4 linked regions of the Lepisosteus oculatus genome follow. The protein of the gene in region 4 binds, or shares a complex with, the protein of the main gene of each other region. Links are inferred from orthologs where the notes say so. Each region holds a gene or a part of one and is shown on either strand. Other genes may lie near its edges.

The links.
Region 1: WD40 repeat-containing protein SMU1 (region 4) and prpf38a share a complex: the UniProt entries of both Homo sapiens proteins name them as parts of the spliceosome B complex. The link is inferred for Lepisosteus oculatus from reciprocal best matches to the Homo sapiens genes SMU1 and PRPF38A.
Region 2: WD40 repeat-containing protein SMU1 (region 4) and zmat2 share a complex: the UniProt entries of both Homo sapiens proteins name them as parts of the spliceosome B complex. The link is inferred for Lepisosteus oculatus from reciprocal best matches to the Homo sapiens genes SMU1 and ZMAT2.
Region 3: WD40 repeat-containing protein SMU1 (region 4) and ik share a complex: the UniProt entries of both Homo sapiens proteins name them as parts of the spliceosome B complex. The link is inferred for Lepisosteus oculatus from reciprocal best matches to the Homo sapiens genes SMU1 and IK.

Annotation. Positions count from the first base shown.
Region 1 is NC_090704.1:14,897,416-14,904,544, reverse strand, and holds the start of prpf38a (pre-mRNA-splicing factor 38A), read right to left. Parts: upstream 3,002-7,129; 5' UTR 2,945-3,001; coding exon 2,815-2,944; intron 2,393-2,814; coding exon 2,233-2,392; intron 1,874-2,232; coding exon 1,752-1,873; intron 1,585-1,751; coding exon 1,499-1,584; intron 723-1,498; coding exon 609-722; intron 465-608; coding exon 358-464; intron 155-357; coding exon 128-154; intron 1-127. Other genes in the region: orc1 (origin recognition complex subunit 1), read left to right, coding at 3,783-3,880, 5,357-5,484, 5,679-5,857, 6,179-6,527. UniProt on the Homo sapiens protein: Involved in pre-mRNA splicing as a component of the spliceosome.
Region 2 is NC_090706.1:32,663,385-32,670,841, reverse strand, and holds the start of zmat2 (zinc finger matrin-type protein 2), read right to left. Parts: upstream 3,023-7,457; 5' UTR 3,018-3,022; coding exon 2,919-3,017; intron 2,251-2,918; coding exon 2,160-2,250; intron 1,516-2,159; coding exon 1,392-1,515; intron 930-1,391; coding exon 856-929; intron 493-855; coding exon 347-492; intron 1-346. Other genes in the region: dnd1 (dead end protein 1), read left to right, coding at 5,416-5,430, 6,867-6,996. UniProt on the Homo sapiens protein: Involved in pre-mRNA splicing as a component of the spliceosome.
Region 3 is NC_090706.1:32,600,326-32,608,101, reverse strand, and holds the start of ik (protein Red), read right to left. Parts: upstream 3,015-7,776; 5' UTR 2,834-3,014; coding exon 2,818-2,833; intron 1,947-2,817; coding exon 1,880-1,946; intron 1,218-1,879; coding exon 1,125-1,217; intron 860-1,124; coding exon 800-859; intron 601-799; coding exon 433-600; intron 114-432; coding exon 1-113. Other genes in the region: ndufa2 (NADH dehydrogenase [ubiquinone] 1 alpha subcomplex subunit 2), read left to right, coding at 3,290-3,390, 3,824-3,930, 4,588-4,679; tmco6 (transmembrane and coiled-coil domain-containing protein 6), read right to left, coding at 5,493-5,513, 5,789-5,914, 6,247-6,414, 6,498-6,592, 7,045-7,225. UniProt on the Homo sapiens protein: Involved in pre-mRNA splicing as a component of the spliceosome. Auxiliary spliceosomal protein that regulates selection of alternative splice sites in a small set of target pre-mRNA species. Required for normal mitotic cell cycle progression.
Region 4 is NC_090696.1:33,605,797-33,613,105, forward strand, and holds the start of WD40 repeat-containing protein SMU1, read right to left. Parts: upstream 3,007-7,309; 5' UTR 2,911-3,006; coding exon 2,885-2,910; intron 1,038-2,884; coding exon 827-1,037; intron 1-826. UniProt on the Homo sapiens protein: Involved in pre-mRNA splicing as a component of the spliceosome. Regulates alternative splicing of the HSPG2 pre-mRNA. Required for normal accumulation of IK.

The sequences.
Region 1 (7,129 bases), on a different chromosome or scaffold from region 4:
TTATATTTCATAGATTGGGAATTGGCCAGTGATAAGTGTCAATTAGTAACTACAAAAATCTCAACTTAATTACATCCCCGATTAATCAATGTTGCCATAAAAAGAAGGAATTCAAAAATTATATTACCTGCGCCTCTTAGGTGATCTGCTCCGTCTGAAAGTACAAAAGAGGAAGATAAAAAGTTTTAAGATTTTGTTATGCTGTTTTGGAGTCACTTTCTCAAACATGGTTATTCTATTTTCACACCGATGATCTCAAAACACCTTGAGAAAAACGTTCAAATGACAACAGCTTTAATCAAGTGAAGTGATCACAGCACTCTTGCTGGGAAAGAAAAAACAGAGCGAGGCGCTTACCTCCTGGGAGACCGACTGCGTCGGTAGCGAGGGGAGGGGGATCGGCGGGGCCTGTCTACGTCGCGGTAGCTTCGTCGGTGGGGCTCTGGAGACTGGCCTCTCTCCGGCTGCAAGCCATGACCGCAGGAGGTCACCGCATTTCACCGCAACAGAAGAAACACCAAGTGGAAAACGGGAACAAAATTAGGAAACAATTGTGAGATAGAAGAACATCCTGCAGACCGAGGTTCAGAGTTCTTGGTTCCCCTTACCTTCTCTTCCTCCTCCTCCTCTTCCTCCTCGCTGGTCTCCACCTCGTCTAGGTCCTCTTCCAGTGCACTGACCCGAGTGTCCAGCAGCTCTGCCTCCTCCAACACCTGCCGCTTCTGCAAAACAGATGCACACCTTTCGTTGCACACCTGTTCAGCAGACTCCGACTCTGCAAGTGCTTTTTAATCGCGATCATAATCAAAGAAACTTGTCAAGACATGTAAGGCCATGCCAGCAACCATATCACTCTGCAACTCACAACTGGCAGCCCACTGAAGCTAAGCAGGTGTGAGCCTGGTCACTACCTGGATGGGAGACCTCCTGGGAGAAACTAAGGTTCCTGCTAGAACAGGTGTTAGTGGGGCCAGCAGGGAGAGCTCACCCTGTGGGTCCTAACGCCCCAGTATAGCGATAGGGACACTGTACTGTAAAACAGGCACTGTCCTTCGGATGAGACATAAAACTGAGGTCCTGACTCTCTGTGGTCATTAAAAATCCCAGGGCGTTTCCTGAAAAGAGTGGGGGTGTAACCCCGGCGTCCTGACCAGATTTCCCATTGGCTCTTACCAATCATTGCCTCCTAATAATCCCCATCTATGAATTGGCTTCATTACTCTGTTGTCCTCCCCACTAATAGCTGATGTGTGGTGAGTGTTCTGGTACACTATGGCTGCTGTCGCTTCATCCAGGTGGATGCTACACATTGGTGGTGGTGGAGGGGAGTCCCCATTACCTGTAAAGCGCTTTGGGTGGAGTGTCCAGAAAAGCGCTATATAAGTGTAACAATTATTATTAATTATTATTATAAAGTGATATGAACTTCTTTAATCTGCTATTCCTAGAGATTTGCCTGCTATAAGAGTGCAGAAGAATGAAAAGAGCTACTACATACCTGTAGCCTAGGAAGTATTATGTCACACACTCTTTCGCTGTGCAGCAATTCATCAATGTATTCGTCCACGTGCATCAGCTCAAACTCTTGAGAAATGGAAAGGCAAGATAGTGTGAACAAGCATTTAAAAAAAAAAGTACTAAACTCCAGTTAATCTCACTTGGCATATGCCTCTAACAAAACAGCTGCCACAAAATACGGCCTTGTCGTAAAATATTAAAAACAACTGCATGCACACAACAAAGAAGCTCACCTCCATTCCGATTTTGGTTTTTGATTTTCCTGTAGTCATTGTACAATGGCTCCAGGTACTTATAGCAATCCACTGATGAACCAGTCAGTCTCATGTACAAGGCTCCAAGCAAACGGACATACCTACAGGGAATAAATGTGACTTTCACTTTGTATCCTCAGCAGGGCTAGTACCGAGAACTTTTTAAATGGAAGAAAATATAGCATACAAATGTAGCATCCTTAATGTTACCTCAGAAAGAATACCTCATGGTATGATAAATGATGAATACAAGCCAGTGCATAAAGGTAGAAAAACTATAAGAAAACTTAACGATAAGACCTGCATGGTGAGCTCAGCATCTCCAAAGAAACAAGAAACAAGCATCTCCAAAACACAATGGAACTGTCAAAACATCTACCACATACTGCCGTTTCTCACTAGAAGCTCTGCGTGCCCTCTTTACAATAGCTTGTCTTTCAGCTCAGTGCACTACACCTACTTGAAATCCTCGTTCTTTATGAATTCCACGATGATGTCTTTCTCCGGCTGGATCTGCAGCATCTTCAGGGTTAGGCAGAGGAAAGGAGTGGGTTTAATATTCCCTCCGTAAACTCCACCAACGTACTTCAGCTCCATGGCTTTATCCACCACCAATTCAGCTGCACATAGAAAATAAAAGTGGTAAAGACAATCAGCAGACAAACGTTACAAAAACACTGTAACGTTTTAATGAAGGCACAGATTAACGAAATCTGTGAGGTTATTTAAACTGTTTTTGCCACCTACTCACAACACTTCACTTATGTTTTTTTTCCAATTACTATTGCTAATACTGCTTGCAGCTAAACGGTGGATTACAATTGGTCAAATGGATCAAACAGCTGTAAATCTCTGTATCTGGACTAGAGATTAAATTAAAACCAGACAGGCCTCAAATAATAGCAGTGTGTTTATAATTTTTTTTAATGGACAGTATTACCATGGATATTACTGTAATTACTCGAATTGCGCTCTGTTCACACTTGTATTTTTACCATATCTACTTATTCAATTATTACCACGTGTCTCTGCTACTGCTCACCCGTAAGTCCGAAGCATTCCTCCTTCCAGTATTTTGACTCGTAGATCCGTGTGCGAATAATTTTCTCCACTAAATACTGTGGATTTGTTCCATGAATGCTATTAGCGTCTTTCACAGTTCGATTAGCCATTTTTCCTCTACAGTCCTCTCAAAACACTTCGCAACACAAGTGTTTCCGGTGCAGAAAACATACACTTCTGGAGTCAAAGGGCGTGTGTTTCAAGCGCTCGTGTCACGTGACATGACGTCACTGAGCACAGAGCACCCAGCCCGGGAAAGTGTAGCGTGTGTCGGTGGGGGTAGTTCTTATAAAGTAAAGGAAGTGATATAACTGTATAACTGTATGAAGTCTGGTGTATTTTAGGCGAATTAATAAATGACAAGAAACACTTCTTGTTAGTAGAAAATTACGTTTTAAAGATTGTTTTAACAACGAAAATCACACCTTCGTTATTTAAACTTTTGAGGTATAGTTTATTACCTGTGTGTCATCCTGGACAAACTTTTTTTATCAGTTGAAGTGCACTGAAGAAATCAAGCGGCATTACTTTCCTGCTTAGACATTCATTTTGTAAGTACATCTTTTAAATCGTAACATCTAGAAAGAATAACTGGGTTCCATCTGGAATCTGAGAGTCCAATGTGTTTATGTTCACATGGATTTCACTGTTTCTTGGTTGTTGACGACTACTCACCATCATTTCCATGAAGATGAGCATCATTTTCAAAATTCAGTCACATAATGTCATTAACACTGTCGTTTCCATGTTACGTTTTTTTTATGTACAGAATGACAGTAACGCAGTTAAACATACTGTTCAATTGAATACCTCAGTTGACACTATTGATATAATATAACTTTACTCAGAAACTTTTTCTTCTTCAAAATCAAGATTTAAAAACACATTTTCTCAGTATTTCAGTTTTGAATGCTTTATTACTTTTCGTGCACCTTAGGAGATAAAAAGATGAGCCGGTACCTAACCAGGCAGAGGAAAAGGCGAGTGTACACTTGGAATGGAAAACCTACGCTCATTGACAGGAAACTGCAGTTTTTCTATTACGAGTGAGTAGTTCAAGACTTCGGCTTCCTTAGCAATCAGATAGCTTGTTTCTACTAAAAACCATTATCAATAAGTTGTGTTTTTACACTGCATTCATCCCATCGTTTAGTACAAGGACACATAAGAAAGGTTACATGTTAGAAGTGTCCATTTTGCCTATTTTGCTTTTTGCATCTCAGAACCTGCACTTGCAAGTGAGGCAGTAAAATCCCATAACAACAACATGCCTATCTAGGTAGTGCTAGTACGGATCAATAATGCTGTGAGTTCCATGTTTCAGTTGAGTAGGAGAATTCCAGTGTCAAATTGAAAACAAAAGGCTTTTAGGGCAGGCTGATTGAGCTTCTGAGGTATGTAGCTGAGTACTGAGAAGACACATCTCCTTTCTGAACGGGTGAGTCTTGAGCAGGTGCCAAAAGGTGGTCAGGGACTGAGCTGTTTGGATTTCTGTTGGCAGTTCATTGCACTGCTGAGGAGGTTGAAGGGAGAGATACAGGAGTCAGGTTTGGCAGGAGCAGAGTGGTGGGAGGGAAGTAGGGTCTTGAATCGCAGTAACAGGGATGCAGTGGAGGGGTACAGGTAATGGAGTAGCAAGTGAAGAGCAAAGGTGAACAAGAGAATTCATGATGAGTTGGAGTGAACGGGTAGTATTAACAGGGAAGTCGGCAAAAGAGGGAGTTACAATAGTCTGATCATTTGGAATTGTGTGGAATAGTTGGTAAGGAAGCGGGTGATTCTGCATACCACTCTTGAAGTCATCACAGGAGCATGCCAGAGGGAGAAATCTGATGACAAAACGAGAGGTAAAAAGTATATGTGGAAGTGACTCAAGGAACAGGTCTAGAGTAGGGGTTCTAGGACAGAGTCCTGCGGTACACCTTATGAGTGTGACTGAGTGGCATATAGCAAGGTAGCAAACTAACCTGTAGTTTTAAAGTGGTAGGGTAAATGGTTAAAGAGAATTTATACAATACTGAGAATAACAATTTAAGAACAATGTTATTTACATTTATTGAAGTGCAGTAACAGTAGGTTTTGTGTATATCATAGATCAAAGGATGTAACTATATTGTGTATCACATTGGTGTGACTTCTGGATCAAGTCCATAACCTAAGGTTTTAACTCTTTTCTCTGTTTATACAGTCAAGAATGATAACTTGGGATGCAGTAAAATATTGGGGCTTACGTGGAATGTTATATATGTTTTGTTTGCTGTAAACTAAACATTCTACCTTCACATACTGTCTGTGCTGTCCGTCATAGGAAGAGTCCATCATGGCACCTAACCATGAGGGTTTTGAAGCCACAAATTGTAATTGAATGTCAGGTCTCAGGGAGGACATGAAGTCCACAAAGACACTTTAGTTGCAGATACATAGAGAAAAAGTGCTAAGTAAGTTAATTCAATTAAGTTAACACATAAAACTTAATATTGGTTCTGAAACTAAATTGAACGAAATTTGTTCTGTTTTTCAAGTGGGTTTTTCATGTATGCAGAAGGCACTTCAGAAGCCAGTTCTATAAAGCTCGGCCAGTACATCTTGATCGAAGGCGATGATGATGACAATCCCTTTATTGCAAAACTACTCAAACTCTACGGCAGTGGTGAGTCACTGGCAGGCATTTCTTCTCCAGTCTGATATAGAGCATGTGTACCATGAAAGTATTTTGAAAGAATTTAAAGATCGCTTAAATTCATGGAGGTGGTGAGGTTGTAGCAAATTGTGTTTCTTTAGCCCTTCTTTTTCCTTGAGACACTTATGAGGTTAAAAGTAATGGCATGGTTCTCTCATCTTTAGGTCCTAGGGAAAGAGAGAATAAGCGAGCAGAGGTGCAGTGGTTTGCCCGATTCTCGGAGGTGCCCTCTAACAAGAGGAAGATGTTGGGCAGGGCGCCCCACCCTCAGGAGATCTTCCTGTATGACGTGACTAACTGTGACTGTGAAATAGATGTGGAGACTATTCTTGGTGCTGTGGAGGTGAGTAAAATCACAGACACACATGTATGTTGAAGGTGATCTGGGATATTTCCTCAGACTTTAAAAATTGATCTCATGAAACATTTCTGTTTGTGATCAGAACATGGGCAAAACATCTTGCTACTTGGATTTTATTTACAATGTGAAAAATAATTCATTTAAAATGCTTTTTAGAACCTTAATTAAATAGTCAGTGAAATGTTGTTGCTAATAAGGGTGGCATTGGCTTATGACATGGCAAAGCTTGGGGGAGATCCGCATTCCTTTCTGAAGGTGATTTCTTAAGGAGAGACGAGTCTGAAGGCACTCTGTGTTCTCCAGGTGAGACATGTGGAGCCACAAGCCCCCTTCCCAGTGGAGCAGAGCAACGGCACCCTCTACGTCAAGCTGTCCTGGAACGGGAAGGCCTTCAGAGCGGTCACAGCTGAGCAGGTGGGACAGGGCAGTGGGGCTTCTCTGGCCCCTGCTCCCAGAGGCAGCCTGCCCACCCCCGACGTTGCTGTGATGAAGAGGGCCTTGGCTGGGGCGGTGAGTGTGGGGGTGCCAGCCTCAAGCCAGGCTGAGTCCCACCACTCCTCCTCCAAGTACTCCCAGTCAAAAGGCCTGAGTGCCCGACGGCAGGCCAAGTGTTCTTCCACCCCAGGCGTCCGGAAGAAGCTGCAGCTCAGCAGTAAGTGCTTGCTTGAAATTGTGGTTCGCGTGGTCATTTGCCATAATAATATTATTATTAATTTGTTACACTTATATAGCGCTTTTCTGGACACTCCACTCAAAGTGCTTTACAGGTAATGGGGACTCCCCTCCACCACCACCAATGTGTAGCTCCCCCTGGATGATGCAACGGCAGCTATAGTGTGCCAGAATGCTCCCCACACATCAGCTATCAGTGGAAAGGAGAAAAGAGTAATGAAGCTAGTTCATAAATGGGGATTATTAGGAGGGCATGATTGGTAAGGGCCAATGGGAAATTTGGCCAGGACGCTGGGGTAACACCCCTACTCTTTTTGAGAATCGCCCTGGGATTTTTAATGACCATAGACAGGACTATTTTACTATTTTTCTCATCTGAAGGACGGTGCCTTTTTAAAGTATAGTGTCCCCATCACTGTACTGGGGTATTAGGGCCTACACAGACCACATGGTGAGCGCCCCCTACTGGCCCCACTAACACCTCTACCGGCAGCAGCCTTAGTTTTCCCAGGAGTTTTCCATCCACATGCTGACCAGGCTTACACCTGCTTAGCATCATTGGGCTGCCAATAGGGACTTGCA
Region 2 (7,457 bases), on a different chromosome or scaffold from region 4:
TTGAGTTTTTCTAAAGCCAAACTGTTAGGGAAAGACCCTGAAGGCCAAAGTAAGCAGACCAGATTAGAATTAAGACTAAAAAAAAAAATACTGAAAACACTGGTTACTGACCACAGTTCTGTAGGGCACTGAATATTTCACACTTTGAAGCCACCCAAGAATTAGTGGCTGAATAAGTTAAATTTAACCAGTGTAGAGCAACAGTTTGTTCAATTATGGTACCAGGGGCTTGGTTACCATTTGAAACAGTAGGTGCTGCAGCTCTCCGGGATCAAGGGTAGATCCTAGACTTGCACTGCATAAGGCAAACAAACTGTACTGTGATTGGAAGCCCTTGGCAAATTACCTCTTCTCTGAGTTCCTTCATGCGCTCTTCAAAGTCATACTCTTTCTGTTTCTCCTCCAGCTTCTTCTTGTTCATCTCAAAACGTTTCTTCACCTGATCAAGGGATGACCGTTCCACCCGCATTGACATACCAAGATTTCTCTGATCTGAAAGCAGAGCCAGCGACAAGATTTCCGACACCTTCATAAAAATGAATTTCCCTCAGAGCGGCAAAATAAGACATGAAATCCATGCTCAAGCATAATATTGTGAGGAGAGGATTGGCACTGCAGAATTATACTGCTCTGTAAAGACACTGTAAAGTTCTGTAAATTATTCTACTACATTTAATTAAAAATGAAAGATGAGTACAGGAAGCAAACGTGAGATTCTTAAAATTATTTTAGTGTTGCAAAATGTCTTGGACATCTATAGAACCAGAACCATCTAGATTAATACAGCAAAAGCAAGAATTTCTGAGATAAACCTTCATGCTAAATAGCAGTATGTTCCTCAAAGTCTGTACTTACGTTTCTTGCCATTGATATGGTCCAAAAAATTGATTGAATCCTTCACTACACAATCACAGACATTACAATAGTATCTGGAAACCCAAAGAAAAACAAACAAAGGGGGTTAAATTAAGATTTCATTGAAAAAATAACCAAAAATACCTTTTTCAGCTCATAACATTTCTTAATCTTTGGTTTCAGTTTCAAGCTAATGCATTCCTATATTGTGGTATAACAGATTAATCCATTTAACAATGACAGTACTAAGCTCGCTTTTTTTCAACTTGCCATCTCTACAGAGTATTCTATTAAAAGAACTGAATGCAAGAGAATTTATCAGGTGTACATAAACCTGTGGAAAAGTGGAAAGTAGTGAACTATTAATTGTTTTTTCTGTTCTGTGTATGTACAATTTGAATATCACCATACCACACACTTGTCCAATAAGTTTCAGGACTTAGAAATCTCAAACAAACAGTAAAGACCAAAACCTAGAACAAGATTTTGTCTCTGAATGAGCAATCAGGTGGGACGACGAGCCTGAAAGTACTTACCCACCCATCTCCGCCTGCGGGGTGGTTTTAGTGATGACAATGGTTTTCCCGAGCTTAGACTCCAGGTCCACTTTGTAGTCCCTGTGTCGTAAAAGCTCCCGTTTAACAGGCGGAGAAGGTTTTCCTGATGCAAAAATAAAACAACCAGACATGAACCAAACTTCACTAAATGAGCCTGTAATGTAACAAATGCAGTTAATGGCGCCAGAACATTTTTATTCATACCTCCACTACATACTGAAGCCCAAATATGTAGGTTTTATTATTTACACCTGAGTGAGATTTAGTGTAGCAGCTCTAAAAAAATGATTTTATGTTTCTACAACAGTACTTTTTAATACACATTGTGAAGGTTTTCTATATGTTATTTGGGACCTCTATAATAAGGCTAAACATAGTATTTGTACCCACATGCTCAAGTTATCAAACACATTTAGTCATCCAATTTTCAGTGTGTGTGGTAACTAACCTGTGAGTTTACAGTCAAAGGGCCGTTACATGACACAATCATTATTCGTGCATTTTATGGAATGGTGAAATGAGAACAAATTCTCATTGACCACAATGACCAGGAGGAATCTGACTCAAAACTACACCATGCTTCTGTTATTTTAACAGTATTTATATTAGCGCAAAGTACTTATTCCTATCACATCATCAGGAGTCAAAATGATTAGCACCTTATAAGATTCTGTAAGACGCAAACACAAAAAAAAACTTTTAATGTGTTTAAAGTTAAAACTAAGGGGATGCCAGAGGCTATCTTACCATCTTTTTTCTCCCTTTCCTCCGTGAGGCGCTTCTGAGCCAGCTTTTCATACTCATCTTTATCCCATTTCCTTCGGAAGTCATTTTTTGTCTAGTAATAAAAGAGTTTTGCATCAATACTAAATACACGATAACTTTAGAAGGTACCATAAGTCCAGCGACATATATGCGATATCGAAGTTAAAACTAGTTAATAAAAAAATGCTATACAGTCATTTGAGCAAATTGTTTTACTTTTTACTTTTTTTCCTAGGAGAATAACGACTTGAACAGAAACTTAAAACACCGAATCGACTTCAGCCAGGCAATAGCTTTTCAGGTGTCATTTAAAAATGCACATGGACTTCAAACTGTCACTCTGCTCTAGATGTCTGATGTATAGAAAATGTATATGGTTGTCCACATATATGTATGAAAGTATTTGGAAAAAAAATACATTTAGATATCACATAGCACGATCTCGAAGAACACCATCTCCATCTCAATAAACCCCCCAGGAAATGATCTTACAATTTGTACATAATTCAGGCAAGTTACAAAATACTCAACCAACAAAACATTCTCACCAGTCTGGGGTATTATTAGTTAAACCATCAGGTCTGGTAGCTAAACTACTTTATCAGTAAGGCGGCTATAATCAAATTAAACCGCTTACGCGATAAATGGAAGTAGACATTTTAAAAACGGAAATATTCTTTGTTGAAGAACTATTGAAACTTGCAGTTTTTTAAATAAAAAGAAAGAACACTCAAAACCTACCCCGCTACCGGACGCCATTTTGCTCATAACAGAATACGGCTGTCGTAAATTATGTAGACGTAAAACTATACCCATGTTTCTGTATTGCCTAGAGTTCATTGGGGTTTCCTGCGTTTTAACCATTAACCTTACTGCCACCCTCTGGACAGGAGTTCTTTCCAAAAGGGGGAACAATTATCATTGTTTTTCCGAAACACACAGTATTTACATCATTTCCGATGAGGATGGGCTACAGTGTACAAAATAAACGGATGAAAAACATTTTTGTGTAATAAAAGTAGTATTAAATAACAGTTTACGTTTAAAATCAGTTACCACAAAACTATAGTTTTTCAAAACATTTGTACAATAAATTTTATAAAGTTATAATCATAGCACTCCTCACTGGGCAGGAAATATCGGGCAAAGTCCCTCGTCTTCATGAATCTTCTTGAGCATTTGTGGTGCAGATATTGACAGATATCTGATATCTCACAAAAGAATTATTTCTTACAGAAACTAACACACACAAGATGTAATTTAATATTTGCTCTACAAAAGGAGTAAGTACTTCGAACATTTTTAATTTTTAAATAGTTTTACTTGTTAAACGTAATAGTTCCACTATTCTGTGACTCACTTTTCTGTGTCTTGTCTCTTTTACCACCTTATATATTCTTTATATACTTCCTTACTGTTGCTTTCTCTTTGGCTATTGTATTTCACAGTGCATGATCTGCAGTTTCTCGTCCTGTAAGTGTCCAGGATAAGTAGTGAAGCCACCAGGTCTCCACTGTAGTATTTCATCTAACTTCCACTGCAGCTGTGTAAACATTAACATCCATTTTAATCCTATCATCCCAGTCCCACTACAGCCTGTCGTGGGGGGGCATTCCGGTCTCATATAAGGGTCATGAACTCTTATATACTTTTAATTAATAAGACCCCATAGACAATATTACAGGATGTCTCAAGCAGACGTAATTAAGGTTTTGTCGAAAAAAAGTAAACGCCTTGCAGTTCCTTGTAAAAAAAAATATCTGTGCATAATTTGATTATGTTAGAGTAGAAATGCTCCCAGTGTAACAATCAGCTCGTATTCCTTTCTATTATGGGAGGGAATTGATCCATAGCACAGCTGCGAAATACCCAATCTAAGTTGATCTAACTTTATTATAAGTTATTAACTTAATAACTAACAAAGCTGCTAAACAGGGCTGTATGGTCTCTCGTTTGTACCTGAAACCATGATTTAAAAAAAAAAAAACTGTACCGAAACGTATTTCTCAAGACGAAAACTCTTAACAACATTAAACAGAAAAAGGTAGTTTTGATTCATAACAACACTGCGCACAGCCCTCACTGACAGCTCCCTTTGGTGGTACTGTATGCAACAGCACAAACCGACAGTCTTCTTGCTGAAGTCTTTTCGGATCAACACCGCAGCTCCTCCTGACCTCGAGTTCAGGCACGCGTCCTGCAGCCTACGTCGCGTTGCCCAAGGCATTAACGTTCCGATCGCAGGACGACGGCGAAAAAGTGCGGTAGTTTCCAAATGTATTATTTGGGAATTTCATTATGGTCCAGAAATACGTCGGGCGAGAAGGAAGACAATTTGATAACAGCAGCTTACGCTGATATAGCCCGCGTTTTGTATAGCCAGTGCCGAGAAGGTCGAAACTGAGCGAAAAAGCTTCAGAGGAAAGTCCTAGAAGAAGCAAAAAGTAAAAAAGAAAAACGACTAAGAGAATATGATTCTGGCCTTTGACGCATTTGATTTTAATCATGCTCAATGAGACGTGCTCGTCTCATCGTGCTCATGCAAAATCCTACGCTCGATCTTCCGTTGCAGGCACAGAATGAACGGATTATCACTCGACAGCAGCAAATATATAACATTCTGGAAAACGTAATAACTGCTTTCGTGTGGACGCCCGCTGTCTGTAACCACGTTTCCAGCGCCGGCCAGCATGGGCAGTGCGTCTTAATAACACGTGGACGCAGATCGCACCTTCTCCGGAAAACGTGTTTTGGTGTAACTGACGCAGATGAGCGTGAAACGCGACGATATCTGCTTTGTAACATTTTATAGTGAAATTCCTGAAAGCAGTCAAGTGATAAGTTATTTATGTCATGTACTTTTTTAAAACGTTGTCATAAAACATCGCACAATACTCGTATATAATCTGGAAATAATCTACGTTCACAGACCAATTCTAAGAACATGATTAACGTCGTTTTTCTAATGTTGTAAGATTTTGTTTTTTTGCTGTTGTGACCATGCTGTGATTTGTTTTTTACATTTCAGAAGAACTGTTCCCTGAATTGTGATTTTACCAATTCGTGCGTTATTTACGAATTTCAACGCCTTCATTGCAGCACCGCCTACAACATGCAAATTATTCAGAAAGATACTTTCTCGCTTGTAGAAGTTTCCAGAAGTCAAAAGTTGTATGCAAAAGTGATTGCGAAGCTGAGAACAGTTTGTGTTGCAGTAGATTTTGAAAAAGAATTATAAATGGAGTCGACAACGGTAGGTTTTAGGTTAGACGTTTTCTCATTGAAAAAATAAAATACGCAGGTGTTTTATTTCAGTAATATCAAAATCGTTACAATCTGCTAAAATAAGGTGTTGCCGACACTTTTTTTCCCAGAGGTCAGTTACGTAAAACGTTGTTAATGATCAAGACCTTTTCATTTAATTTGACTTTTTGTGCAGGTTCTGGTTTTCAAAAACGCTTATGCCGGAATTTCACCGAAAAATACAATTGCGCACCTGCTGTTCATAGACTTAACAAAAGCTATAACATGGGTGGTTGAGGTTTACACGGTTTTTGGGTCAGTTGTCCGTTTGATTATGCATTAATATTTTTTAAATTATTTTTGCATATTCCATTTTTTTTAATGTTAGGTTTGTGAATCGTTGTTCTTATATATCCTATTTTCCTGAAACGATTTCCAGTTTGTCCTAACCTTTTCTAGATTTTTAATTTTAAGATGTCGTTTTTAGTGGTGTCGTATTTGTTGTTGAAACTGCTATCACTATCAATAAAATATCCGTCTCTGCACAGTGATTTATTTGCGATATTTAAGCTTTTACACATTATCCTATCACATTCCCCTAAGACTAAGAACTAAATCACTTCAATACTTTTAAAATGGCAAACCACACCTACCCACGTATCTGTACATATTTGAATATGAGTGCGGAGATGTGTGATTTAATTGGTACATTTCTAGTTATTAAGTGATATATGGCTTAATTGCCAGTGTATGAAATATAAGGGTCAGTACTGGAGGAAGAGTTTCCATAAGATTCTAATAGACTAAAAATCTACTTAGGAGGGAGGTTATCAAAAAGAATACTGTTCCAGATTAATAGAGTAATTACTCTTTTCACAATGGTTGAGAAGGACAAAAGAACAACCTGATTGTTAAATTATTGGTTCAAGTAGATTTTTTCTTTAAAAAATGAAGTGAGAATTCCTTGTTTAAGCAAGGAATTATTCTAATTCTTTATAACAGTACGTTACTGTCGTTCAGCATAATGTAAACATTTGTTAGTGTTGACTGTTTTCTAAGCCAACAGCACTTAAAGAAATTGAGAACGTTTTCTGGCAGTCTTGGATAAATACAGCTTTATTACCACCTTAGAGCTTGATCTCATCTGATCTCAAAGTCTAAGCTGAGCTGGGCCTGGTTGGTACAATGCTGGGATTGTAGATTTCGGAGGGAAGCCATAGAACTGTTCAAAACGGTAGGGTTTTTAACTTTGGTATATTGGTTTTAAACAATCTTGTTTTCCTAACATTCAAATTGGGCTAAAAGGCACAATACATTGTATAGGCAAGGAATTCGTATAATATATATATATAATATACTTATTACATTAGTTATTTCTCCTGTACACAGGACATACTAAGTACAGATGTGCCTTGTAAAGATGATGTTTCCTTTCTGACGTTTTAGGATAGCTCCCATAGTATTTTAAACTTTGTGAACAAAGAAAGTTGGGAATCCCTGCAGGCTTGGAAAAACAGCACAGGAGTCTCTCTTGTGCAGATCAATGGACAGAGAATATATGGAGGTCCACCAGCAGGTAAGCCATGTTTTCTCATCCTGAATCCAAACAGTAATTTTAAAAAGTGATAGGGAAGTCATAAACTTATGACTTATGGTTATGGTTTTCTAATTATTATACTGCATCACTTAACAATTAAGAATTCTTTTGGAACAAGAGCTGAGTTAAAGTTACTGTGGCTGAAAAGGTAATTTCATGTCCTTAGTCTACTCTACAGCCCATCTACAGTATTCACAGAAACTCATTTCAAGTGAAAAGCTGTGGTTGTATTTTTATTAAATGTCCAAGTCTTCCTAGATGGTGAATGTAAATGGTGCAGATTTTTGCACAACAGTAATGAACACAGATAAGGCATTATTAACATGCATTCTTTAATTAGGAGTTTAAGATTTGACAGTTTAGTTCAACATGAGCTGAGCATGATGATTTTTATGAAGCATGTAAAATTAAAATTATGGATATACTAGGAACTTGAAACC
Region 3 (7,776 bases), on a different chromosome or scaffold from region 4:
TCTGCAGCAGGGCAAAATCCAACCCTTTCACCAAGTGAGTGTGCTCCATGTCACCACCCAAGAACTTGGACTCCTGGATCAGTTGCCTTCTCTTTTCTGCTGCCGATTTATCGCTGTTAATTGCCAAAACAGGAGAATATAAAATGATCATTAGAAAAGACCATTTTAATGTATTCAAGAAACACCTGCTGGAATCTAAAAATTCCATCGATGCAAAAACACCATTGCAAGAACATGGAAACAAAGGAATGTCATATTAGATGTATAGAGCTACTGCAGAACTTCACAAATATAAATCTTCTTGGCTGACAAGCAATTAGGATAGATAAGAAGTGTGTTCTGAAGGGAGGGCTAGTGAGAAGGGCAGTTCTCTTCATGTAGGGTGGAAGGAAACAGGAGAGGTGTGTGAGGAACGGGCTGAGAGACACTCACGCTTCTGCTGTAGGGCCCACAGCCCTGTAGTTGGCTGTGGTGCTGATGAGTTCAGTCTCCTCATAGTCCTTGTTGACACCATCTCTCCTCTCCCTTGCTCGGTCTCTGTACTTCTCCGCCAACTCGCGCTCTCGTTCAAGCTCCTGCTGTCGAAGCTTGGCATAGTAACTGCGAGTGAAGCAGGAAAGTTAAAACAATGAAATGGAGCGAAAAAAAAAGAGTTCAATTTATGCAATTATGCTCAACCTATATTCCTTTACCTATGTGTTTACCTTGGGTGATATTTACAGCACTACCTAGTGAAGCTATTCATCAGAATAGTTTACCAAACTTTGCTTAGTGGTTGAATAAAATTGACAAAAATCACCTTTTCTTCTTCCTTCTTCGAGCTGCTGGGTCTTCATCCTCATTGTATTCCCTTGGCATTCTGGAACCATACAAGGCGAGTTAGTATGAGAAACATGAGGCTCTTCCATTTGCAGATAACTACAATTATTGATAGTCGAATAATTTGTAGCTTTTGATAAGACAAACTGTGTGTTTCTACTACCATATTAAAACTATTTTGACAGATGTAGAAAAGGTGTAACAAATACAGGAACAAGCAGACGATGCTGTGGACGTTCTATGAGACGCAGTTGTTGAAAACCTTAAGGTTTCCCGTCCTAAAAAAGTGCCCCATCAGTACTCACTCATGGTGGCGAGATTTTGAAGGAGGGGCTGTTGAAGGTGTAGCCCGCGGGGTCATCAACAATTTTCGGAAATCTTCATTTGTCAGCTTGGACCTAAGCAGCAGAAAAGAACATTAACATGATCATTCAGCAGAAACCTTCCGACACATTTACAACATCTTAAAAAACACTCAACGTATTTGAATCCACCTCTGTAATATTTAACTCTTTGGCTAAAGTATGACAGAAATGAAAATGTACTCGATACCTTGCACTGGATTATTTTAAGAATATAAGTTTTTCAGGTGGGTTTATTTTAGTTCCTCAGTGGGCACTGATCACAAGATTATATAAGACTGTCAAAATAACACTGGAAGAAAGTGCAAAACTGAGTGATTTTGATAAATAACTAGAGTCTCCATATTTAATATGGATTGCCGAGCGTAAAATAATTAGTGAAGCAGCACAGTGGTACAACAGTGCTACTATCTCACTGCTACTGGGTGCTATGTTCTATTCTGTACTGGAACAGCTTTTGTAAGGAGTTTGCAGGTTCTCCAAATTTCTAATGACATGCTGTCCAGGCTATTTATAGTCTTTGTGTGTGTGTGTGTCCACAACGCAGTTCCGCTTTGTGCCCCATGCTTCTGAAATATGCTCTGAGTTCCTGAATTACTTTGGACAAGAACAAGGAGCTTGCTAACAATGGAAAGCTGGGAAATCATAAGTTCATAAGACATCATAAGACAAATACACAGCAATATGGAGATACTCACTGGAGAGCTGACCGATGATCTTCCACCTCATGGCCATCTGGAGCCAGGGGATTTGAGTACAGCTCACCTAAGGGGAGGGAAGGAAAACAAATATAAAGGTTATAGGAAAACGTTTTAAAAAGAACACCCCAGTTGAATAAGGTGCTGCCTAATGAAAAATTACAATAGAAATGTATAACATTTGCCAGAGAATAGCACTTAGAAATGTGTCCCTAGAGGCCTGACTGACTAAGGAAGAGGTTTATACAAACTCCCTTTATGGTATACTTGATTGAAATCATGCTCTTATAATCTTAAAATTAAGATGTTAATTAGAAATCGTATCTTAAAATTCTTGAATCCCTCTGAAGAGATCAAATTTCCCAGCGAAAAACTATTATTGATTTTTAAATCCAAAGATTTCTTTGAATGTTACAATGCTGAGAAGATCAATGCTTACAAAATTTGACAACACAATTATGAGGCCTACTATTATAAGATAATTAAACATTATGAGGTAGTCACGACATAAAAATTAATTTCTGAACACACGTACAATCCCATAGACAACGGAGCAGAGTCACAATAGTAGTGAGGCCCACTATTAAAACTACAACGATAGTTGTCAAGCATATCGATGTACTGGCTATAGTTAGTCGTGCATTTAAATAATACAAACATTTACCGACAAAAAAAAATTGACATTGGGCGACAGTACTAATTAAGAACAAAAACCCTGAACACCAACATAAACCAGTTCAAGTAAATCATTGCCCCTAATTCCAAGCTTACAGAGAATATTCAATCGATGTGTTTATCTAGCCATAAAAGCGATCGGATTTAATTAACTAATGTAAGTACGTTTGAAATTATACAATAACAAAGAACGCGTTTATCCTCGTAAACAAAATAACAGCAACATTCAAGTACTTGAGGTAAAATGCGAAAACAAAACTTACTGTCTCGTTCCGGCATTTTGAAGCGGTTTACGTTTCTCTGCTTCAAAGAGGATCCTTACATCTATTTTTTACGTTTTAAAACCGAAAATCAATCTGCAAATATTATTTTAGACACTTAAACACAGCAAATTACTACTCCATCCGTCGTCCACAAAACTCACTACCGGAAATGGCAGAACAGGAAAAATAATCGATCACGGTTGTCGCAATTCTGACTATCGACTAAGATTGCCTTGAAATACCCTAAAGACATTGGTCAGAAGCATCCTGCTGTAATTGGTTATCACTGAGAGTCTATCTACTTTGTTCCCACGCTGATTGGTGAGTTGTTTACGCCCCTCTAAAATGTGATATGTGATTGGTTATGATGCTTTCCAATGGGATGCTCTTTAAGCACTCATTGGGTAAGGCGGTGCTCCTAAAGGAAGTGGTAGAGAGTATCGCAAATCTGTAGATTTTAAAGGTGAACATCATGGCTGCTGTTGCAAGAAGTATTGGGTCAAATCTTGCGAGAAACCTTAAAGAAATCCGCTTACATTTGTGTCAGACCTCGGCGGGTAGTCAAGGGGTCAGGTATGTATTAAGAAAGCAGGTATTGCTAGAACGACATTTTTTATCGCAATTTGATTGCTTGGAGAAGTCGTACAACTGTATTTAACAGTATAGAATGTTTTATGTTTTGCCGAAATTGTATCTCCTGTTTGCATTGGAAACAGTGCTTTTATAAACACTCAGTCTTTGAACCGCTGTCACTGGCTGCTGTTTCAACTAGGTATAGCAAATTCTCAATTTACAGGAATGTACTATATAAAAAATAAATAAATAAGTTTATTATATCTCTCATCGGGGTTGGTATTGTACATTTGGATAATATGTAAAAACGAAAAGCAGTATTTTATTTATTACCTTCTAATTCTTCCTAAATGTTTTGCAAAGTATGCTGGACAGGTCGGTTAATGGCAGACAGTGACATTTAAAAATATACGATTGTTTATTCTTTCGTTAGGGATTTCATCGAGCAGCACTATGTGACGCTGAAGAAAGCTAACCCTGAGTTTCCAATCTTAATCAGGGAGTGTTCTGGTGTTCAGCCTAAATTGTGGGCACGATACGGTGAGTCCGAGTACAGTACTTGAACAGGTGTACGGCGATCAGCGGATTAATAAACATATTTACTGAAATCCAGTTGTAAGGGAATTCAGCTGGCATTGGGCCATAACGAAGAAGGAAATTGGGAGCCATTTACTTAATTTATTCCTAAAATATACAGTTGTCATTTTGCTAGATGTACTGATTTAAACTTACATTTGGGTGGCTTTTGTTAATGGATCAAAACTGAATGATAGATGTTTGAGGACATTCAGAATTCAGCAGGAATGAAATCCAAACATCAATATAGTTCTTTGGAACCTTGGTTACTGTTTTGGATTCTTTAAATTCTGACATATTTACCAGGCATATCTACCATGCCTATTCTGTTCCTAGTGACACCACTGTTTAACAGAATATGCTGCACAGAAATTGCTGCTACACTAACATAACTAGACCTTTTTGATTCCACCTACAAATATAATCTTTGATTGTTCAGGAAGTGAAAACAACTCAAGTTAGTCTACTAAGTCGAAATTGTATTGGAACATGGAGATCTTAACATCTGGCATACACTTGGGGCATAAGGAGATGTATCACAAGTATCAAAATAAGGGTATTGCTCTGTTTTAACTCATAGGACGACCGAGCGGGGCTTGAATTGCTGCTTTTGTGTTGCAGAGTTTGGCAAAGAAAAGAGTGTAGCTCTGGACAACATGAATGCTGCCCAAGTAGCCAAGGCATTGGAGTCTGTGGTTAATGCTAAACCATGAAGAGAAGCAGAAAAGGAAGTTCTGTGCAGGTGGTGTCTGTGCCCTGTATTTTGTGGACTTTGGGTGAACGGTCTGTTTCAACCCCAATGCATTGATATGCCAGTGTACAATAAAATGTATTTAATGACAAATGAGTTTTTGCGTTTTCTTGCTTAACAAAACTATAACTTCAATAAATCACACACAAACTAAATTAGAATATTTTATTAAAATAAAACAAATACACTTCATATTATAATGCATACTAAATTAAGTGTTCCATTTGCTATTTTTCAAGGACTAGAGGATTGCAGAAGGTGGGGGGGAAGGCAGAGCCAAGGGTAATTTTTATAAAATACATTCAGGGGCATACTAAATGACCAGATTCTCTTGGGTTTATATTATAATTGAATATCTTTTAAGTTGGTAACATTTTTTGCATTTTGTGAATTTGCATTATTTGCATTTAAAGGCGCTATATAAAATAAAGTTTTTTATTATTATTATTATATTAAGGTGTCTACCTTAAACTACCATTTTATAATTCGTTTTCTATTTCATGATGACAATCTGGAAAAGTTTTTTTATAACCAGAAAATTATAAATTATATTCTCTGTAACAGGGTTTTTGATGAATGTGACTTGCAGCAGTTTGTATTTGAGTTGATTTTTTTATAACATAAAATCTTTTCCATATAAGCGTAATGGCTAAAATAGCCATATAGAAAAGAAATTTGCATTGCAAAATTAAAGTATGTTCCCTGAGAACCTTTAGCATTTATGACACAAAGCTTTCTTCTTGATACTGCCACTTAGCACAACATGGTTGGGGTGTCATTCAACAGGAGTATTTGCCTTTAAAACAGGAAAAAAATTAAACTCATTTTACTGCTCTCAAACAACAGGCATACATGATGGATATATCTCATACATGAATGTGGAAATAACTTTTCTGTAGTGCACATTTCTTAGATTTAATTCTACAACCAACATTAAAAGTCAATAAGGGATATTTTACATAAAGTTCTGTTAGTTTCCACATCTGTGGAATCAACCACGCACTCAACAACATTTTGAAATCAGTTCCTCCGCAAACTCCTTAAAACATCTGCTCAAGCAGCTGTCCTTACCAGGACCTGTGGGGAGAGATATCTATCCAGAATGAAAGTGGCCCGAATCCTTAACTCCTCCTGGCTGTTATACTGGATGGCCTCTAGCAGTGAAATCCCCTCCTGCTTCACAAGCTCACAAGCAACCTATGAACACAGTGCATGGAAAAAAAGATTTGCTGTTATGAGCTGGTGTAATACATACATGTTCAAATCTATAAATAGTAGAAAAGAGTTTTAAATCAACAGAAAAATCAGGAATAAATAAAACTCATGCCTCACTGGCTTAGTCTGGCTTTGATCATCTACGCTCTGAGGGGCAGGTGCTACCAGCCCTAGTGTGGAAATACAACTACCAGAAAGACAAAACACAATTCTGAATAGTTCCAGTATCTTCTGTCACAGCACACATATGGAGAAAATATAACAAGTTCTAATAACTTGGAAAAAAATCATCTAGGCTTTCGGTATCACATTACCTGGGAGCTGCCAGCCACCATCATGTGCAGCAGTTCTAGACTAAGATGTATAATTTCAGGATCAGCCATTCTGAGCGTTGTGTGAAGAGCTGACAGCACCCCTTTCTGGTGCAGCTGCTGGCAGTACTCCGGTCCTTTCTTAGCAGTGTTGCATAGTACACGCAGGGCCTAAATTGAAAGAGGCATAAAAACCTTAAAATGCATTACAAAAAATACTGTGCTTGAAATAACCCGATCCCCACGTTTCTTACCATAATGTTTATGCCCTTGGAGAATGGCAGCAGCTCAATCAACACAGGTACCAGGTTTAAGTATAGCAGCACTGAGCAGAATATGGCATCTTCAGCTGGACAGAATCAGCGGAACACAAAACATGTAAGGCTAATACAGATGTATCACTTCCCCAGCATACCCAAGTCAAGCACGTGAGAATACAGGGTCACTGACTGGTAGGTAAGATACTGATATAATTTAAAGATTAAAAACTCTACTTCAACAGTGGATTAATCTCATCTGAGAGAGAAACCAAATTTCTGCAGTGACTGATTTCTTATGAGCAGTTTGAACTGCCATAATCGACACCATATACCATCTTAAACTATACAAAACCTCAGTTTAAGTAAAAACAAGCAGAAACGCTCGTAGTACAAACATTTCTATTCAAAGAAGGTGACTGTGTACTCCGCTAGAGCAAGTATCACCTTACATATTCATCAGGAAATCCAAAAAGGAAACTAGGCACTATAATAACTCACTTCCAGAAAAGTTTTTCCTTCAGATATAAAAGTTGGTTGCTACCTGTAAGATTATTCATGACCCATAGGCTTTCTCGTGCAATGTATGTCCGCGTCTGCAGAAAAGCCTGAATAAAGGCACACAGCGCCACCAGCAGCCTGCTGTCCCTGATCTGCTCTCTACAAACTTCGCCTCCAGTGCCCGCTAGCAGGTTCCCAAGGCAACGGAGCAAGGGAGAAATCAGCTGCAGCATTTTCAAAAAAACAAAAAACAGTGGACTTTTTTAACGTGCAGGACTGTTGGCTTCCATGAGGGATATATGCTTCACCAGAAAGAACACAAACAGCACTTTACTGAAACTCTGAAAGTTTGTCCTGTATTTATCCTTCAAATATTAATCAAACAAAGGGTTTTGAACATCAGAGAACTCTATCAGCCATACAAAGTAATTGCCAAACTAATTAGAATAGTTTGCTGTGCAAAACATTTATTTTTAAACACATTCTGTTTGTTTTCCCACATCTCAGATTTTTTTTCAAAGAAATACCGGCTTGTTTGAATTTGCTTGATAAATATACTAAGGATGCTGCAAATGTTTTCCACTACATCTAAGGAAAGAAACACAAAAATCTGTTCTAGTACTAGGTTATGTTCAATTTTCATTAACCTACATTTAGCACATGACCTCACTTCTTTGTACTGACTCCAAGACTCAGTTCCACCTCCACACTTAGTGGAAACTGTTGTACCTGGATTTGTATTGGAGATTAAGAATGGTGTATTTTCCAGTTGTAA
Region 4 (7,309 bases):
GCAAGACCCAGGGTTGGAAGAGGTTCATCTAGAGGTTAACTTGCCACACACTACCTGCCGGTGTTATTGGACTGTATTGGCTTTAGAAAGTTTTAAAAGGTTTCACAGTTGTGAGTGCAAACTGTGCGTCATGAAAAACTCATAACATTCTGCTATTCATATACTCAGGATAAGGAACGAAAGTCCATTCTTCCAAGCATACAAGCAACCTGGGTACAGGACAGAAAGGCACCACAGCCCCTCATGACAGGGCAGGGTAATGAGGTGGGCTCCTGGCTCACTCCCACACAGAGACCAAGATAAGGGAGGAGGGACTTAATTAGCATCAAACACTTCAAAATTCACGCAATTTTCACACAGAACAATTCCCCATAAAAAAAATACCTCCAATATCACACACATGCCTTGTATGAATATAAGTAGAATTTTTTACTTGCTTTGTCTTCTTTGATCCGGTTCAGGTGTGAATGTGAATACTGTGTTTGTACCGTCAGCGTTACAGATCTCCTCTTATTTCAGGAGTGGGGACTGCCCTTTTTAAATGTGTCGAGTGTTTAGGGGCAGAGTAGTTGGGAATCAGACAGCTGAAGAACTACTCTTTGTGAGACGAAGTAGTTTCTAACAGCATTTCTAGAGTGACGGGTTCAATGATGTTAAGAAGGTGTCTCTGTTTTGTTTTTCCTCACACAGGCCTGTTTCCCATCTTGCTCTTTTTGGATGTCTTTATAGTTAATAGTTAATGGTAAACTTGACTGAAAAATAAAACAACATAAGAAAACATGTAAACAAAAGAAATTAAGAAATACATCAACCTGCAAAAACGTACCTGCTCATAGAGATCAATAAGTGTCTTGTCTGGCAGCTTAAGAGACTGAATGGCCTGTAAAACAGTGTCCCAGTGACCACTGTTTATGTCAGCCACAAAGCTCTCAATGCTGTCCACTGTATTGAGTGACACCGTGGTCTCCTCTTGCAGTGTGGCCAGGGTCCGGTGAAGATTGTTCTCCTTCAGATACTGCATTATCAGGCGGATCACGCTGAAAAGCCATTCAACGCCCAGTTAATGAAAACACTAATAGAACAATTAACACTAATCAAAAAATTATATTGTAACGACAACTTCACAATTGTCTTTTCTTTTTGCCCGAAATTGGCAATACTAAGGCAAAATTATATGAATGAACCAAGCCACCCTTTAAACTCAAACACGAACAATTTCAAACACAACTGTTCTTTGCAAACCACTAGGAAATAATATTATTATTATTATATACTTATATATTATTATTATTATATACTTATATAGCACTTTTCTGGACACTCCACTCAAAGCGCTTTACAGGTAATGGGGACTCCCCTCCACCACCATCAATGTACAGCATCCACCATAGTGCGCCCAAATGCTCACCACACATCAGCTATCAGTGGGGAGGAGAGCAGAGTAATGAAGCCAATTCATAGAGGGGGATTGTTAGGAGGCCATGATTGATAAAGGCCGATGGGAAATTTGGCCAGGACGCAGGAGTACACCCCTACTCTTTTCGAGGAACGCCCTGGGATTTTTAGTGACCACAGAGAGTCAGGATCTCGGTTTTACATCTCATCCGAAGGACGGCGCCTGTTTACAGTATAGTGTCCCCGTCACTGCACTGGGGCATTAGGACCCACATGAGCCACAGGGTGAGTGCCCCCTGCTGGCCCCACTAACACCTCCTCCAGCAGCAACCTTAGTTTTTCCCAGGAGGTCTCCCATCCAGGTACAGACCAGGCTCACGCCTGCTTAGCTTCAGTGGGCTGCCAGTTGTGAGTGCAGGGTGATATGACTGCTGGTAAGGAAAGGCTCTAGCAATAGGTTAAGTCCAACCGCACAGGTGAAAGTACACTTGGCTCTTTCAAGTCTTAACCCTTATGGTATCTTAACTCTATAAATTGATACATTGTCTGGATCCATATTGCTATTGTTTTAATAAGGCAGAAAGGGGGAATGAGGTTACACATCTGGAATTTAAATGCTAAAATCTAATTTAAATGGAAGACTCGAAATGCAAAGCACTTTCATAGGACTCCATTATCATAAAGGAGAGGTACTACTTAAAGAGTATTACTGACGAAAAAATAAGAATACCAGACTTATTGAAACATTTCGTTTAAGTTGGAACCCATGCTTTGTGAGAAATTGTATGGCAATAGTTAAGGTTTTGTTTTTTTTGCCTCGCTTCTTAATTATTTTTTCGTTCAAAATACGCAGCCTATTCAGACAACACATAAGGAGCTTTTACAAATACAGAAATGAAAAGTACCCTTAGAATTCCTAGCAGTTACAATTCGCAAGTTACAAACATGTATAAATACTTGCACAGGATTTCGCTGTCATTCCTGATGTGAGTACATACTTATACGATGTGCTGAAAGAACTACACATCGACTAATTAAAATATCATACCGTTAAGAGTGTTTTTGTTTGTAACAAGCTGTTTTTGCAGTTAACCATCAAATAGACAACATTTTAGCTGCTATCATGGAGGTCGGAGTTCAACAAGCAAAGGAAATCCACCTACAATAAGCACACGTTTTGTGACTGTAAAGTTACACCCATAGATGCACTAGTACGTTAATGCGCGCCGTTGCATTTCGCCTTTGGATTAACACTACAAATTAGGCAACAAGAACGAACCTTAAGTGTGATTATACACTTTTCAATCAAAGATTAAGGCATTAAAACAAACTGCCAGCAATGCAGTATCCTCTGAAGCACCGGTCTAGCTAGGCCTAAAAACCTTACTGCAAACACTGTAACGATTACCGTGTAAACACATTTTTAAACTTAAAATCACAATGCCTTAATTTCCCCCCCAAAAAACAGGTCAGATTTTAAGTAACTTACTCCGCCGATTCCACCTCCAGGGACATGATTCAGACCCAAAAACACAAAACAATACACCAGAAACTCCAGCACAATCCTCCACAGGCATTAACTATCGTACACCCACCCCTGTCACGTGACTACTACAGGACAAGCATACAACCGTCACATGATCGCCTCTAGGCCAATAGTGTTATTTCCGTAGACCGTTTGGTTTGTTCTAGATAAAGCGTAAAAATGTACGTTTTTACTTGTGTTGCAAGTTTAATAGAACATTGAAAAGTCTTGTTCTATTTTATGAGATTATTAATTCACCATCGTATTTATAAATATGGGTAGTTGTTTCTTAATCAGCTGTAAAGGTAACGTGATGCAAATGTTTATATAAAAATAAGCAACATTTCGTCCTCGTGCATTTGGTATGATTGGAGTGGTAAATCCTGTACCTGGGTTAAAGCGTGGGTTATAATCACGCTTTAAAATTGACCAGCACAAGTTTCCTTTAATTTACTCCTGCTTTGACTTAAATTGTCTGCAACACCGATACGACAGGTTTAAAATAAAAATCCCGTTCCACTTTGGGAGTTATTTATATAATAGGTTTCCTGATCCTGGTTTTGAAGGTAATTATTTCACTCGTGTAGTACAGTTTAAATAAAAGTGCCATCAAAGGTATGAAGACTCCAGTAGATGGAGCTGCTGCTTACAACTGTACAGAAGATGGGTTTAAAAGGAATATAAGAGTGCCTTTCAAAAGGATTCAGGTTATTGCGTTGCTAACGTGCACACTTTCACAGTAAAGATGACAGTTCGCACTCATTTCTGATTAGTTGAAATTTTACACACTGATAAGAATACCACTTGGGAAAAATGGGTATGCTCCACATCTCAGCACTTTTAGTTTTGATTTATACAAAGTGAGAACTGTTAAATACATTTTATACCACATCTATATTTAGCTAAAAAAATCACTTCTGATTACAGTAGATGATAGCCCTAAGGGTGATCCCCTCAGATGCTCACAAGAATATTCTTTCAGAGTGTGTACATACTCATTACAGGTTTTGCAAGGGCTAGATGTGCATTATTGCAATTACAATATTGTCCTACTTATGTTTTGAAAAATCGTTTTTACAATGAAAGCACAGATGTGATGATACAAAGCTATCAGCATTTTAAATGATCCTTTTGAAAATGCAAGATATGCTCCTGTTAATTTCCTTACGGGGGATTTAAACTGAAAACCGCAGTTGGTTTTCTCCTGAAAGCGTCGCAAGATTCTGAAACGAGGTACTCGGCGGAGTAGTTGAAGCTTGGCGCCCCCAGCTTCCTTTCACTAAACGACTGGATGAGATCCTCCGGCCACTAGCAACCAAATGAGCTCAAAGGGCCCAATGGCCTGCTCTTACGTTTTTATGAGTTTTCGATTGTTAAACTCTTTTTTTTTCTGGTTTCCTCTTTGGCAAAATAAAAAAAGCGTTTCCTTTTCTCATGCTGCTGGAACACTATCCGGAGACAGCGAGCTCCCACAGTGCATAAAAAGGCAGAGGAATAGTGTGCCGATATCTGGATGTGGGAAAAGAATGAAGTGCAGGGACTTTATAAGAGATCGTTACACGCAACCCCCCTATTGTGCCCGGAGCTCCCTGAATACCTGGGCAGTAGGCAACAGGCCAATGCATTTCAGAAGGAAATGGATACCTGAAAATACCTTCAGCGCTAGCACTGGGAAAGCCTCACACCTCTGTATCACATGGGTCTTAAAGCACTCTGTGGAAAAAAAGGACAAAGATGGGGCTTTTAGAGGTTTAATGTTTCAGCTTCCTCTACTTTTGGGGGGATTTTTTACATTCTCCATGCCCTGGTAAACTTTTTCTGTTCTTTTAATTTCCTGACTACGCTAATGGTTTTTAAGGAGAAAAACCGTGATAAAATCTGAATACAACATGAAGGCCCGCCATTAGTAAGTTCGTGTTTAATGTATACGTACAAATGTTGGCGAAGTACAATGGTGTAAATGGTAAAGAGAATTAGGGTTTTGTTAAATGAGTTGGAAGACGTTAACAACCAGCAACATGCAAAGCCCCAGACGCAGAACAATAGTGGTCGAGACTTAATTTATTCTGTGCAACAGTTTCATCTGACTGGTATAATCTCTGCAATCCCTGCAGACAGACATTCCCTAGCAAACAAGCAGAACATGATTAGTTTAAGCCTTTGATAGTTCTGTTAAATTATGTTCCCTTCCCTAAAGTTCTTTGAAAACCTACCATTAGATGGTTAGATGGTTTTGTTTTTTATATTTTGCTCAATAAAATCAATTTCTATCATGATATTGCAAAATGTCACATGGTTTTTCCGATGGTGTATTTGTAAGGGGTGTTTAGACACTCCCAACAACAGATCACTTAACCATGTCCTGGACTACATTATGCGAGTACAAACACATTGATTACCCAGTAGCTTTTAAAATCATGTCATCTCCCTCTGGCAATGATAGTTACAGTACCTGCCATACCTAACCTCTGCTCCAGCTAATTCTGGTCATCCCTGTTTCATTATTTGCTATTGAAGGTAACTTCCTACAAGGAGGCAACATCAAAGCTGTCGGAAGCATGTACCGAACACTTAATTCTTCATCATGAGTACACCCCTAAAACCCCTTCATAAAATGCAATAGGCATTTTCCAATTCATCTTTTCATTTTACACAGAGGGTTGTAATAGGCTAAATACCCAGTCACATTTTTACAGCCCTCAACCCTGGCTTCTTTCGAGAAGTAGCCAGATGACATCCTTGAATCGAGGAGTGACTGAAAAAACAAACGGTCTAGATTTCTTATGTCTCTATTACCAAAATGGTTAAATCACCTTTCCCTGCAATGACAAATGGAATACCTAATAATATAAAAGAGAGGAGAATTAGACAGGTGTCGCTGATCACTACAGACGACATTTCAAACAAAAAGCAGGACAGTGAATGTTGTCAGTGTGATGACATGCCAAACCTGTCAACACAATCCCAAAAAAAAAGGCGGCCATTATTACACACCTGATTTTCAAAGGCTCTTCAAGAAAATCTGATTTCACTGTGATATAAACACATCAGACATGAAAGTCATGCTAGATATACAGCCTGAATGCAGTCGTTACTAATTATAGCTATTTTGTACCATACAGAAGTCATTTTTAAATTATTGCACGTATCAGGTTGCACAGACCTATAAAAATGGTGTAACAATTAAAAAATGAAGTCCAGCAAACTTATCCTAGAAGAAAACGAAGAAAAAATAACTTTATTAATGGAGCTCTGGAGGGAGCTTACTTATGAAGAAAGTTACCTGGAAAACTTTTGAATTGTCATCCAAGAATGTGTCAGGTCGTCACATAAAAAAATATCAGGTAGAAGGAGGAGGGAGAAACTTCAATGAATTCTCTGTTTATATGTAATTATGTAAGGTATTGATGATATTTTTTGGCAAATTATGCAACATTTTTTCCATTCGCTTGTTGCAAAAGTTACAATAAGTTCACATTTCTTTCACATGGACATACTGTCCTACAATCCTAATTCAGTTTGATTTTTGTAAAAAAAAATCAAGTTCTGTTTAATGGTTTTGTAGGTAGACATCCAAAAAGATGAAAAAAGTCAATGGTTCTATTAAAATGCTTTGACGTGATTTATCTTTGCACTTGCCACTGCAAGATACAGTTAATCAAATGAGTTCTTCAAACTACAGTATGTTTATTGAAGTCCTCTTTGGCAGGTATCACCATTGGATTTCTGGAGTATATTGCTCAGGAATAAACATAATTTAAGCCTGGAGTATTTAAACACTGATGATGTGTTCTAATAGTGTACTAACAGCACTCCCTGTATCTCAATTCCACCTCAGCTAACTCAGGACTTCTTCTGATAGGTGCCCTACCCTGTCCTCACTAAAGAATCCTCTATCAGCCAAATTCAAATGACAAGACCCTCGCATTTTCATTATAACTCAATGTCAATTGCAGTTGATGTCTTTTTCATCCTGGCACATACTGTACATTGATGTGAGGCTGATAAAGGAATGCAAGCCAGACATTATAGCTCGGATATCAGAAATGGACTGAATGGCACAAAGAGGTACTGCTGTTGCTGGCTAGCCTCCATTCAGTTGATAAAGGTCAATATATCTGAGTAATGTAGCATGTAAAGCATGTAGATGCAACACAAATTTGTATAAGCCAGCAACTTCTTGAGACATTAACAAAAATCCCTGTGCATTTATCTTGCTTTTTTGAAAAATTAGAATCACTCAATCATAACGTAAGCCTGTTTTGATAGGCCACAATGGAACACACTGAAAACAGATGCTGATTATAAAAATAAAAATGTAAAAAGAAGGCACAATTATGGTGCATACAATTATTTTATCATGCAAACTTCTTTCAACAGCTCCAGTGT